3 linked regions of the Rhinolophus ferrumequinum genome follow. The protein of the gene in region 1 interacts with the protein of each later gene in a pairwise test. Links are inferred from orthologs where the notes say so. Each region holds a gene or a part of one and is shown in the gene's direction. Other genes may lie near its edges.

The links.
Region 2: the proteins of SIAH1 (region 1) and ATN1 interact in a two-hybrid assay, tested with the Homo sapiens proteins (2 studies listed by BioGRID and IntAct). The link is inferred for Rhinolophus ferrumequinum from reciprocal best matches to the Homo sapiens genes SIAH1 and ATN1.
Region 3: the proteins of SIAH1 (region 1) and CTSK interact in a two-hybrid assay, tested with the Homo sapiens proteins (2 studies listed by BioGRID). The link is inferred for Rhinolophus ferrumequinum from reciprocal best matches to the Homo sapiens genes SIAH1 and CTSK.

The regions. Positions count from the first base shown.
Region 1 is NC_046298.1:3,727,072-3,730,816, reverse strand, and holds the start of SIAH1 (E3 ubiquitin-protein ligase SIAH1), read left to right. Parts: upstream 1-1,397; 5' UTR 1,398-1,920; coding exon 1,921-2,011; intron 2,012-3,745. UniProt on the Homo sapiens protein: E3 ubiquitin-protein ligase that mediates ubiquitination and subsequent proteasomal degradation of target proteins.
Region 2 is NC_046293.1:24,077,724-24,081,468, forward strand, and holds the start of ATN1 (atrophin-1), read left to right. Parts: upstream 1-1,103; 5' UTR 1,104-1,287; intron 1,288-3,745. UniProt on the Homo sapiens protein: Transcriptional corepressor. Recruits NR2E1 to repress transcription. Promotes vascular smooth cell (VSMC) migration and orientation. Corepressor of MTG8 transcriptional repression.
Region 3 is NC_046305.1:50,976,937-50,980,681, reverse strand, and holds the start of CTSK (cathepsin K), read left to right. Parts: upstream 1-900; 5' UTR 901-1,055; intron 1,056-2,560; 5' UTR 2,561-2,561; coding exon 2,562-2,684; intron 2,685-3,148; coding exon 3,149-3,271; intron 3,272-3,356; coding exon 3,357-3,512; intron 3,513-3,745. UniProt on the Homo sapiens protein: Thiol protease involved in osteoclastic bone resorption and may participate partially in the disorder of bone remodeling. Displays potent endoprotease activity against fibrinogen at acid pH. May play an important role in extracellular matrix degradation.

The DNA.
Region 1 (3,745 bases):
GAACTCTTGGTGACCTCAGGCAAGTAAAACTTGGAGGTCTCAGGTGAGTCCTTATGTATTTTGGAATATGCGGTATCTGTGATACACATAAGGTACCCACCTCTTAATCTAGACAAAAGCCCTGTGAGGTTGGAAATACTGTCCTGGTTTTACAGCGGAGCAGGCAGTGAGGACTGGTTGGAATCCGAGCGTAGGTGGCTCCTCACACGTCTACCTCTACTTCCTGACTCACTTGGTGAGAGGTTTGTCCACGGCCTGATGGTTTGCAGACCGTGCTGTAAGGCTCTGTACGGCCCTTTGCAAGTTTGGGGGGAAAAATGAATTGTTTTTCTTTGCTTCAGGCATCAGTAATCTCCTTGACTTGTTTATACATTTGGGTGCTGTCTTAATTATTTGGAGAGTTTTTCTGCCTAAAATATTTGAAGTCACCTGCCCTAGAAACCTGAGACCTGTCTAGAATGAATATGTATTAGAAAATAAAAATGTAGGTAATAGTAATTTATATTTGTCAGTAGACTGTTTTCAATTATATTTCTAATCCTAATGATGTTTTATATAGCCTAATAGTAAAATAAGGTGAGGTGGCTGAACACTTAATTAATAGCGTGGGAAGTGATTCGATTTAGAATTTGCTGCTGGCAGTGGGTGATCTACAGTCTCCTGCGCGGGGTTCAGACCCCACTGCCTCCCAGCTCTTGCTGCCTTTACAGGCTGCCTACGGGTGATGTAATGACAGGTTACACCTCAGCATGCTCATGGAGGCCCTGGGCTTTATGGGGCAAGGGTGATGCTTATTTAAAAACAAAACAAGCAGCTCGCTTTAATGAGGCCTTTGGCTTTCCCAGAGTGGGAAGAGAAGATGGTCTCCGCGTGGAGGCTGAGGCCGGAGTTGCATATGGTTCTGTGTGTTTACTGCTCTCCCTGCAGTCTCTTGGAAGGGAGGGGAGTCTAGAATGTGGTCCTGTCGGGTGGAAATGGAGAAGTGAGAACTGAGGAACTATGGTCGCTGCCGCCTGGTAAGCACGTCGTTGCTGGGAGAAGCCCAGCGCAGTCTTTTACTCTAGAAGACCTCGGGGTTCCAAGGGTTAACCTGGGAGGGCTGTGCAGTGCAGATAAGGGCTGGGGCTGGCCGCGCGTTTCCCGGGCTCTCGGGAGCTCTGAGTTTGCAGCCACACGAAGTGACCGATTCCAGTTACGGTTCCGAGCGTTTGGCCTCTAGAAACCCGGCCTGTTTGGCCCTAGATGTTAGCTGGTGGCGAGGCCGAGGGTAAGGGGCTCGGCCCCGCCAGGTCGCAGCTGTGCGACCCGGGGGCGGGGCTTGTGGGCGCCCCCTCCCTCCCCCTTCCCCTCCCCCTCCCCTCGGGGGTGCTGGGAGCCTGGGCGCTCGCACTCGGGTGGAGACTCGGGTGGAGCCGCCTGTCCCAGTGGCGGCGCCACCCGGCCCGGCCTGGCCTGGCCCTGGGCTCCCCGGGGCTTCCGCGCGGCGACTCCAGAGCCAGCCCGCGAGCGCGCCGCCTTGTCCGGGGCCGCCACCGCGCACCTCTGGCCCCGGCCGCCCTCCCGACAGCCAGCCAGAGCCTGGCTCGGGCATCGGGGTAGACAGACTGCCGGTCCCGGGCAGTCGAGGGCCCGGCGGCCCAGCGCGGCCATGGCGCGCGGTTCTGGAGACGCAGGCGAATTGGAGCTCGGGGAGGTGTGGTCCGCTCGCCCTGGGACGGGCGGGTCTTCTCGTCTCTTCTGGTCTCTGCCTTCTGCCTCGGCGGCCCAGGCCTCTGAGCAGGGAACGGAGGGGCGGGAGCCGGGCGCCTCCCTTCGCTTCTTGACAACTTGACCGTGACGTGTTCAGGAACAGAAACTATTCCGAGGGGCCTCTGCTCCAGACTTGCTTCTGGGGGGAGGGCCGCGCGCTGCTGGCTTCTCATGACCGGGAAGTGTACCTTGCCTTTTCTGTACGCCTGGAAGGGCGTCTTACTCACCTGTTTACCGGCCGCTCGGACCAGGAAGAGGAAAGGTACTGGCGTTTCAGGGACTGGGAACCGGGGCGCTGTAAGCCGGTGGGGGCTGGCGGCCAGGGACGCGCTGCAGCAGCGCCAGGGGCCTCGCCGCGCTGTTTCTGTGGCTCTGCTGTACTTTGCTGTTTAAAGCAAACTTCAGCTTACGCAGCGCTGCTGCACAGGTGTCCTGAGTCCTGGCTTCCGCTCCGCTGCAGGGCTGCTGTGCGCCTGGGATTGTCTTGTGTTTGCAGGTGGAGCTGGGTCTCACCTTCGGCGCTTCGGGAGGCTCCAGCTGCTGCTACCCTGTGGCCGCATTTCACTTAGTTTGAGTAGGAATTTAAATTGTGCTTCCTACAATGTTTGGAAAAATAATAAAGACATATTGTAACATGAACCCGAACTATTGATGATGATGAATGTATAACTATTTTGCTAGGCCTAGAAATTCAACAGTAGTGTTTTTCTTGCTTGGTAGTCACATTATGTTGCATACAAACTGAGTTTACTGACCCTCGCTGTGACTGATCAGCCCTGTTGGTTTAGTGGTTTGAAAGGCATTGGTGGCTTCGACTGTTTTGGGCACTTTCCAATATTGCTGTCACTTAAGTGAGCAGCCTGACGTGGGCCAGGAAGGCATGTGGCACGTACAGGGCATTTTCACAATGCTAAGCCCGTTCTTTCCCACGGGACCCAAAACTCGTGGCCCAGCATGTGCACCTAGAATCTCCTCAGGGAAACTTGGTGAACAGGAGAGCTGCTTCTGAGCCCTTTTGTTGGGCTAGGACACCTGGTTATAGAGCATCAGATGACAGCTGATTCCTGCTGTCCTAAATCTGTGTGACGGGCCACATCAGGGTGGAATTCTGCTATGCTTTTGTTTCCCCTTGAACTTGAACTGTTCCTGTAGTGGCATGGAATTAATCTTTTCTGGCACCCTCACCCCCCATTTAAGGTATCTATTCTTGAGTAATATAACCCAAGTTGCATTTACATGGTCATATTGGTAACCAGCATTGTTTTTTCAACATTATATTCTTTGCAACAGAATGTAATGATTATAGCTGAGAAAACATTAAATTTGAGGCACTGAATTTAATTTTGTTAAAATATGGCTTCTATAGTTATTGGGAGTACATACACGCTTAGACCATCAGTAGATGTTTTGTCACTCCAAGCCAAAGGTAGACTCCTGGGGAAAAGTTCTATCTTTCATTCCACTCTAATGCGTCTTTTGGAGCAAAAATTAATATAAGACTGGGTCTTTTACTATATTATATAAGACCCGGTCTTATAGTAAAATAAGACCGGGTCTCATATTAATTTTTGCACCAAGTGACGCATTAGAGCTGATTGTCTGGCTAGGTCTTATTTTCGGGGAAACATGGTAGTTACATTGTTCGTTTCTTCCAGATGACATTTATCTCTTAAATGTTTATTTATCACTGTGCTGTTGAATGTTTCAGCGGCAGTGGTGAGCCCTGGGGTACGTCGTGCCAGCTGACTGAACCCCCATCCGCAGCGCTGTGTCTCTCTTTCTGGTGCTTTTATCTTTGTTCTTTATTTGCCTTCTCTTCCTGACTCCTTTCCCTTTGCAGATTATGTCTGATTTATATTGTGGAGTGGAAGTAGGATAGAAAGATTTATTTTCTGTAAATACCAGACTAAAATGGAGGATGGATGGCCCTCCATTTATTTCTCCTCTATTCTACTACCTCACTTTTGAGGGGGCACTGGTCAGTGGGAAACAAGAT
Region 2 (3,745 bases), on another chromosome or scaffold:
TCCAGTTTACCTTCATCACTCCCAAATTCTTGTATTTCCTATTCTTTTCCCAGCACCAGTCACCCCCACACTCTCTTCCAGAAATCCCATCCTCCTATATATGTCTCCATTTTTTTCAATTTCTTCCCCTCCTATGATCCCAAACTTCCATCCTGTTTCTCTCATAATTGTCTCCCCAAACTATCCCCCTACATGTCTGCCACAGACCCTGTCACCTCAAGCTTCTTTCATCTCTCCTTGTCACACCTCATTGCCCCTAAAGCCCCCATGTAAAGCCATCTTTCCAATCTCACCCCATTACCCCAATCTCGGCCACATACCCACAAACTCCCACCTCACCTCTCCCACAGACCCTTTTGCCCCCTAACTTCTCCTGCCTCCCCCATATCTGCCCTTAAAACCCACAGCCCCTCCTATCTAGCCCTCTCCCGCTCCAGGCCAGCGGGCTCCCCACATTCCGCCTCCGCGAACCCCTCCCCGCGCCCCGGGCCCCCTCGGCCTTGGTCTCGGCCAACTCGCACAGCGCCTCCCCCTCTCCGATCCCCCTCTCTCCCCCCTCGCAGCTTGCCTGGCGCTCCCTCCCTCGCGTCTCCCTCCAGGCCCCTCTCTCCTCGTTCCTCCGCGCTCCCTCCTTCTCCCTCTTCCTCCCTTCTCCCATCCCCCTCTCCCAGGCTCCCTCCCTTCGCCGGCCGCTTTCCTGTGCGAGTCGCCGGACGCGCCGCCCAGCCCTTCGCAGCCCCGCGTCGGGCCGGGGCCTGGGGCCGGGACCCATTACTGGGGACCACTGGCCTCGGGGAGGGGCTAGCAGGGGGCGAGGGAGACGACCGCCCGGGAAGGGGCGGGGGCCGCGGGCGGAGGCCGCTTAAGGGGCCGGGAATCGCTCGAGTGCGGGCCGCGCGGGGCCGGCGCGGGCAGCGGGCGGGAGGCGGCGGGCAGAGGCGAGCGGAGGGCCGGCGGAGCCGCGGGGGCGAGTGGAGCGGCGCCGGCGGGCGGCGCGGCCCGTGCATTCCGGGCGGCCGGGGGGAGGTGGCGGGCCTTGGGAGGGGCTGAGCGAGAGCCGGGATCGGGATTTGTTCCGGGGCCGGCGGGCGATCGGGACCAGGTGGGGGGAGGAAGGGGGATGGGGCCTGCCCTCCGAGGGGGTCGAGGCCGCCGCCGCCGCCGTCGCGGCGGCGACTGAAGCCGGGAAGAGGAGAGGGGGGCGGGGAGCGGCCGCCGCCGCCCCCCGGAGGCACCGGAGCCCGGAATCGCGCTCGGAGCCAGCCAGTGGTCCGGAGCTACTAGCAGGTAAGATCTGCCGCCGCCCGGGCTTTGGGCTTCCCGGGGTTCGGGCCCGCGGCTCCCCACCCCCACCTTCTCTCTGTTGCCCCTCCCGCCGCCGCCGCCTCCATTTGTTATTTTCTCGATCCGGTCCCCCCACTGCGGGCACTGTCTGGCCTGAGGCTGGGGGCTCGGGGTGGGGCCCGACCCCAAAGAGGAATGGGGGCCAGGGCACCCAGAGGATCGGGCAGGTGGGGGTAGGTGGGAGGGTCTCAGGAGGAGGGCTGATGGGTCAAGAGGGTAGCTAGGACCCTGGGACCAAAGAGGAACACGGAGGGGGAGGATTGGCAGAGGAAAAACGGGGGATGCCCGCGAGGGAGCTTCGGGGCGAAAGCAAAAAGGAATGGAGAGATGGCAACGAGGTGGGGAATGAGGGCTCCAGGAAAAGCCCCAAAGGCCCAGAACCTGGGTTGCAGAGCCCAGGGTTGGGAGTGCTAGTTATGGAGGAAAGTGGGAAATGGGGAAGGGGTGTGGTAGATGGGAAGGGAGGGCTTGTAGCTGATGAGGGAAGAGAATGGAACCTGGGGAAACAGGCTGGGAAAGGGCCAAAGAGAGGTCCACCTTTGAGAAGACCCCAAGGTGTTCCCGGGTTGAAGTGGGAAGGCAATGCTTTTGTGACTCAGTTTTCCTTCCTCTACTCCAGGTCACCTCTGGTCTCTTTTTCCCCAATTTCAGACATAGTTACTTCTTGGAGAAGGAGTACACTGGGGCCCAGTAGTGTGGGTTCTCCTAAAACTAATGAGGAGGGAGGAACACTGAAGGGAGAGTTAAGGAGAAAGGGTTTCTGGGAGGGTGGAAACAGAGGAGAGAATTGGGTAATCTTATAGGCACTCCAGACAAGTTGTCACCTCCACGTTCAAACCCGCAGAGCACCCACTGACCCTCTAGCTGTGGTTTCCTGGGGGTGGGGGTGTCTTCATTGCTGTTTAGAGCTCAAAAGATTTCCATTTGTACATGGGTTTATTTCTATTGGGGTAGGTATTTTTAAGCTCTCTTCTCTGAGGGTACTGTAAGGAGGGTAGGAGTTGCTTTGGCAACTGGAGGGAGAGTGGCTGGCAGATGGACCCCTGGGATAGACTCTTGAGGGGCAGGTTCTGCCATTTCGTTACCATGGCAATGATCCAGTGGGATGTCCAATAGGTGGAGGTTCAGAATCTTGATTGGACCTCAGCCTTTGGCTATGTCCTTGGGACTCTTGTCTGGGTTCTGGAGGATGTTTCTGGTGCTGCTGGTGGATAGGTTACCTAGGGAGTCCACCCCTTCCCATCTAACAGTCTGTTGGACATAGATGTGTTACTTGCCTGTCATCATGTTTCTCCAAGTTCCTTCCCCAGGCATGGTGGGATCATGGAAATGCTCTATTCAAGTTATACCATGTTTTGGTAGTTCGTTCTGACTCTATCACCCTTATTATTAAGGGTCTTTTTATGTACAGTAGTCGTTTTGCTTCTTTGCACTGGTAGTCTTCCATTTTCTTAAACTTGAGTCTCCTTTTCCCAGTCAACCTTTTCTTCTTTCACCAGAGTGACCCCTTCCCTCAGCTAACCTTTGACCTATATCCCTGACCTTGTAGAATGGCTGGGCTTTCCAAGCCCATACCAGGTGAAGGAGGCCCAGGGGAGAGGGCTGTGGAACAGCTTGGTGCAATGGAAATGCTCTGGAGATCTGGGTCTAGTCCTGGCTGTACCTCTAACTGTGACCTTGGGCAAGTCACTCCTGTTTCTTTGATCCTCAGCTTCACTGTAAGATGAAGGGGTTATAGATGATTTCTAAGGCCCCTCTGACAATCCTGGATTCCTTGGAGGTTTAGGCCAGTGCATTGTTACCTGCTGGTCTGGGCTGCACTGTTATCTAGGAATCTCTTTGGACTGGTTGTTAGTCTGGCAGGTCCGGAATGATGAGGAAGGATGGGCCAATGATCCTGAAATTCACCCTTCAAGCCCTTCCCAGAAAAGCCTTGTGCTTCTATTGTATTCCCTCTGACATCCTTCTCATATTTCTCCCTTAATTTTTTTTCCTGTTCTTACTTAGAGACACTTTTCCTATTTCTTACTTTTCCACTTCCCCAATCTGGTCTTATCATTTTCCTTTTGCAGTAAGGCAATGAAGGTGAATGTGCTTAGTGTGTTGCCAGACACATAGTAGGTGCTCTATAAATGTTAGTTACAGTGACTGGCTACTAGGGCAAGATGGAGTGTAGCTCAGTTTGCTAGTGCTAAAACATGCCCCTGGTTCAGACACATAAATACAACCCTAACATCTTTGCTGCCCCTGCCCCTCCTTACCACAGGATTACCTACCCATTTATGACTGCTTTTTCTCCTTCAAAGCTACTCATTGCTTATTTTATCAGATTTCAGCTGATTAAAAAAGTTGGGTGGGGGAGGAGCACACTAGGATTGCTCAGGTACATTCCTGCATTTCT
Region 3 (3,745 bases), on another chromosome or scaffold:
CCTTCAAACCCAGAGGCAGAGAACTGCGTTCTTGAGGAATACGTGTGTAATCCTGCCAGAAACTGAATCCAGAGCCCATGTATTCCTGCTCCAAGGACCCTCTTTTCCTCTTGCCCCACATCTGGTTATGGAAGAAAATGGAGTTTGGGGGTGTGGTTTGGGGACTGAGCTAGACTCATGATCTGTCACATGCCTGGGTGTTGGGGGAAGTATGTGGGAAGTATGTGGAGAAGCTCAGATGACCTGGGCTGGGGGTTTTAGTAACAGCCAGGCACTCTTCATCAGGCATCCCACCACCTGAGAGCTTAGTAAGGGATGTCACGTGTGAGCTTGTCAGTGCTTATGCCATTGATTCATGTGCTGTCAGAAATTCCCAGGAATACTGCTTTGGGTTACTTTTAGAACCGGTTTCATCTGGACCTTCTGGGCACATGCTTCCTCAGCAAAACCATGTTTGGCTGGGAGAGCTAATACCCTCCATGAAGCAGCAACGACTTAGCCAACAAGCTTATAAAATACAGATGCTTTTGGAACCTCTGACTTCCCTTACGACTCTTTCCTAGCCTTCTGTGTTTATTCCCTCTCCTCTGGTGGGAACGTCAGAGACAAATACAAAACAAGTTTCAAAGAGACGGTGATGGAAAGATCAGGAAAACATGTGATCCCCCAATATAATTAATAAAGAAGGATGGGGGAGACCAGAAGTGTGTCCCTCTAGCTACTAAAGAGAAGATAATCCCCAACTTAAGTAATGTAATTTGGGGGATTTTTTTTTTTTTACTATTTTTTGGTCTGCCCTCAGAAAGAGGCAATGTGAAACTGAAAAAAAAGCAACCCTCCATGCAGAAACATGCAAATCCACTACCTCCTCCTCTCCCCCGTGCCCCCTTCTCAGCATTTCTACCCTCCCTTCTTTCCCATCCAATTTTTCCGACCAACAGCTGGAGCTGACTTCCGCAATTCCAATGGAATAAATCCAGCACCCCTAGTCATCCGCTCACATTATCCACAGTTCCCTGCAGAAACGAGCCCAGAGAACAGATCCCAGCCAGCAGGTAACGTTTTTTCGACTTCCTAGTACATTTAGCTTTTCGTTCCTGCCAATTCTGCATCGTAGAAGTGTTAGGGGTGTAGTGACTTGGGGTTCAAAAGGCTGCGTGGATGAAAATGATGCCCTTAGGTCATTTCCTGGCCGTATACAATCTGCCTGGAAATTTTTAGGATTTCTTCTAAAGCATTTGTGATTTGTATGTATACGTGGTTACTAGTGAAAGCCAAGAGTACAGGGGATCCTTTACCCATCCTTCAAAGGGGGACCTCTTTGTGGGGTTTTCTGTTTTGGCCAAAGGTACGAAAAGGGTTAACTTGTGGTGGGGGGAGGTGGAGTGGTGCAGGGAGACGGTAGCTCAGTACTTCCTAATCTGTGACGTCTCAAAGCCCCTAACAATCCAAATAGTAAATGTCCTGCTGGTTATTTGCCAGTTTGCAAAGAGCACACAAAAATGGACTATAAATTCAAAAGTTATGCAAGACTATAAATTGTTCTTAAAATGGAGGGCACATAAGTAAGCCACTGCAAGAAGTGAGCGACGCTAGACCAAACTTCTATAAAGCTGTGTATTTAATGGTCATAGAACGTTGCTTTTCTGTCTTATGTTCTTTTAACAAACTTTGGTTCTGAGGCTTTTTGGCCTGGGAGGCGGTCACAGAGATTTTTTGTTGTCAGAGAAAAAAAAACCACCAAAAACCTTCCCACAGCAGCTGGTCGAGATTAGGACAGTTTCCTGCCTGAGGAGGGAACCAGAAGAGAAAGAAGAACTGCTAAGAATGTTGAGGAAACAGGAAATCCATTCTCTCAGTTAGAAAATAGGAAATATGGTCAACTTTGCCCTTGTCGACTCCTGCTAAGCTCTGGAAAAGTGAAAGAATTTAGCCACTGAAGAGAAGAATGCCTGACAGAAGTGGTCAGGGTGCAGAACTTAGCTGGAAATCTCTCCTCTGTGTGTTCTCCAACCTCCTTCATCCCCCTTGCACTTACCTTGTCCGTCTCTTCCAAGGCTGCTGGGGGCACCGAGACAAATGCTGAGCCCATGCTGATGGTCCATTTTCTACCCTGTTTCTAGTTGTCTGTGGAAGTTGTGTGTGTGTGTGTGTGTGTGTGTGTGTGTGTGCGTGCGTGCACGCACGCGCGAGTGCCCTGAGTCTCCCTAGGTCAAATGACTAGGAACCAGGTATATCAGCACCCCATCCAATCCCAGACCCCTCCTGACCACCACTGTTCTCTGTCTACCTTCCTCATAAAGCCTCATACAGCAGAGGAAGGGGTTCTGCACTTCAGGTTCTGGAACTCCCCAGAATGACTGTGTGTGCATGCATTTTTCTGGTGAGAGGGTTTATAGTGGGTTGCAAAACTATTAGCTTCTCAGAGGAGTCTATGGCTCCCAAAGGTGAAGAACCACCTGTCTGGGACTATGTCTCCAGGTAGCTATCTCCTCATCCTAAGCCAGGCTAGGAACTCCTTGGCAAATAGAAGAGTCTCCTCTAATTGTCCTCTTCCCAGGATGTGGGGGCTCAAGGTTCTTCTGCTGCTGCCCCTGGCGAGCTTTGCTCTAACCCCCGAGGAGATACTGGACACGCAATGGGAGCTGTGGAAGAAGACCTACAGGAGGCAGTATAATAGCAAGGTGCCGAGGACCCGGAGGGGAGCACTGAGGGGGGGAACCCTGAGACCTCCAGGCTCCCTGCTTCTGTCCAAATACTTTCACCACCCCAGCCAAGCAACCCTGCCCCCGTCCCCTAACTGTTAACATGTGGTTTTCATTCCTACGCCTCGACTTACCCTCCATCAAGTCCTATCCTTCCTTTTTGTTACAACTGCCTTCTCTCTTTCCTTTGGGACGATTTCTCAGATGAATGCTGATAATCCATAAGCAACTTTTCTATCCATCTCTCCAGAGCTTTGCATTCAATTATTTGTTCATGTTTCTTTTTGCACGCTCTTAATAATCCCGTGGTCATTTGCCCAACTAGACGGTAAACTCTATCCCTGGAACTTGAATCTTTTCTCCTAAAAACCTCCACAGTATTACATCATGTGACTTTGTATACCGCACGCAGTGTAGGCCAGTACTGACTGTGGTCTCTTTAGGTGGATGAAACCTCTCGGCGTTTAATTTGGGAAAAAAACCTGAAGCACATTTCCATCCATAACCTTGAGGCCTCCCTTGGCGTCCATAGCTATGAACTGGCCATGAACCACTTGGGGGACATGGTGAGTTGAGCCTCCACACCTGGCTTACCTGCCCTGTTGGCCTCAGGTCGCTGCTTAGGCCTGGCCTCTTTCTTCTTTGTCCCAGACCAGTGAAGAGGTGGTTCAGCAGATGACTGGACTCAAAGTACCCCCATCTCGTTCCCGCAGTAACGACACCCTCTACATCCCAGACTGGGAAGGCAAAGTCCCAGCTTCGATCGATTATCGAAAGAAGGGATACGTCACTCCCGTCAAAAACCAGGTACCCTCCAGTCTCCTGGGTGTGGGTAGGTAAACTGGCACGGTCTCTTCCTTCGCTGCTGCTTTGTTCTTAAGGTACGGGGGCCCCAGGAAGAGGGGGCAAGGAATGACGGTACCTCTCCCCATGCTAAGAGAATATAGCCTATTCCATTATTTACGTAACTCATCTCCAGCTTTGTACATGTAGGTTGTTTATGCATTTTCTTTTTTACAAATAGTGGTGCTATAAGCACC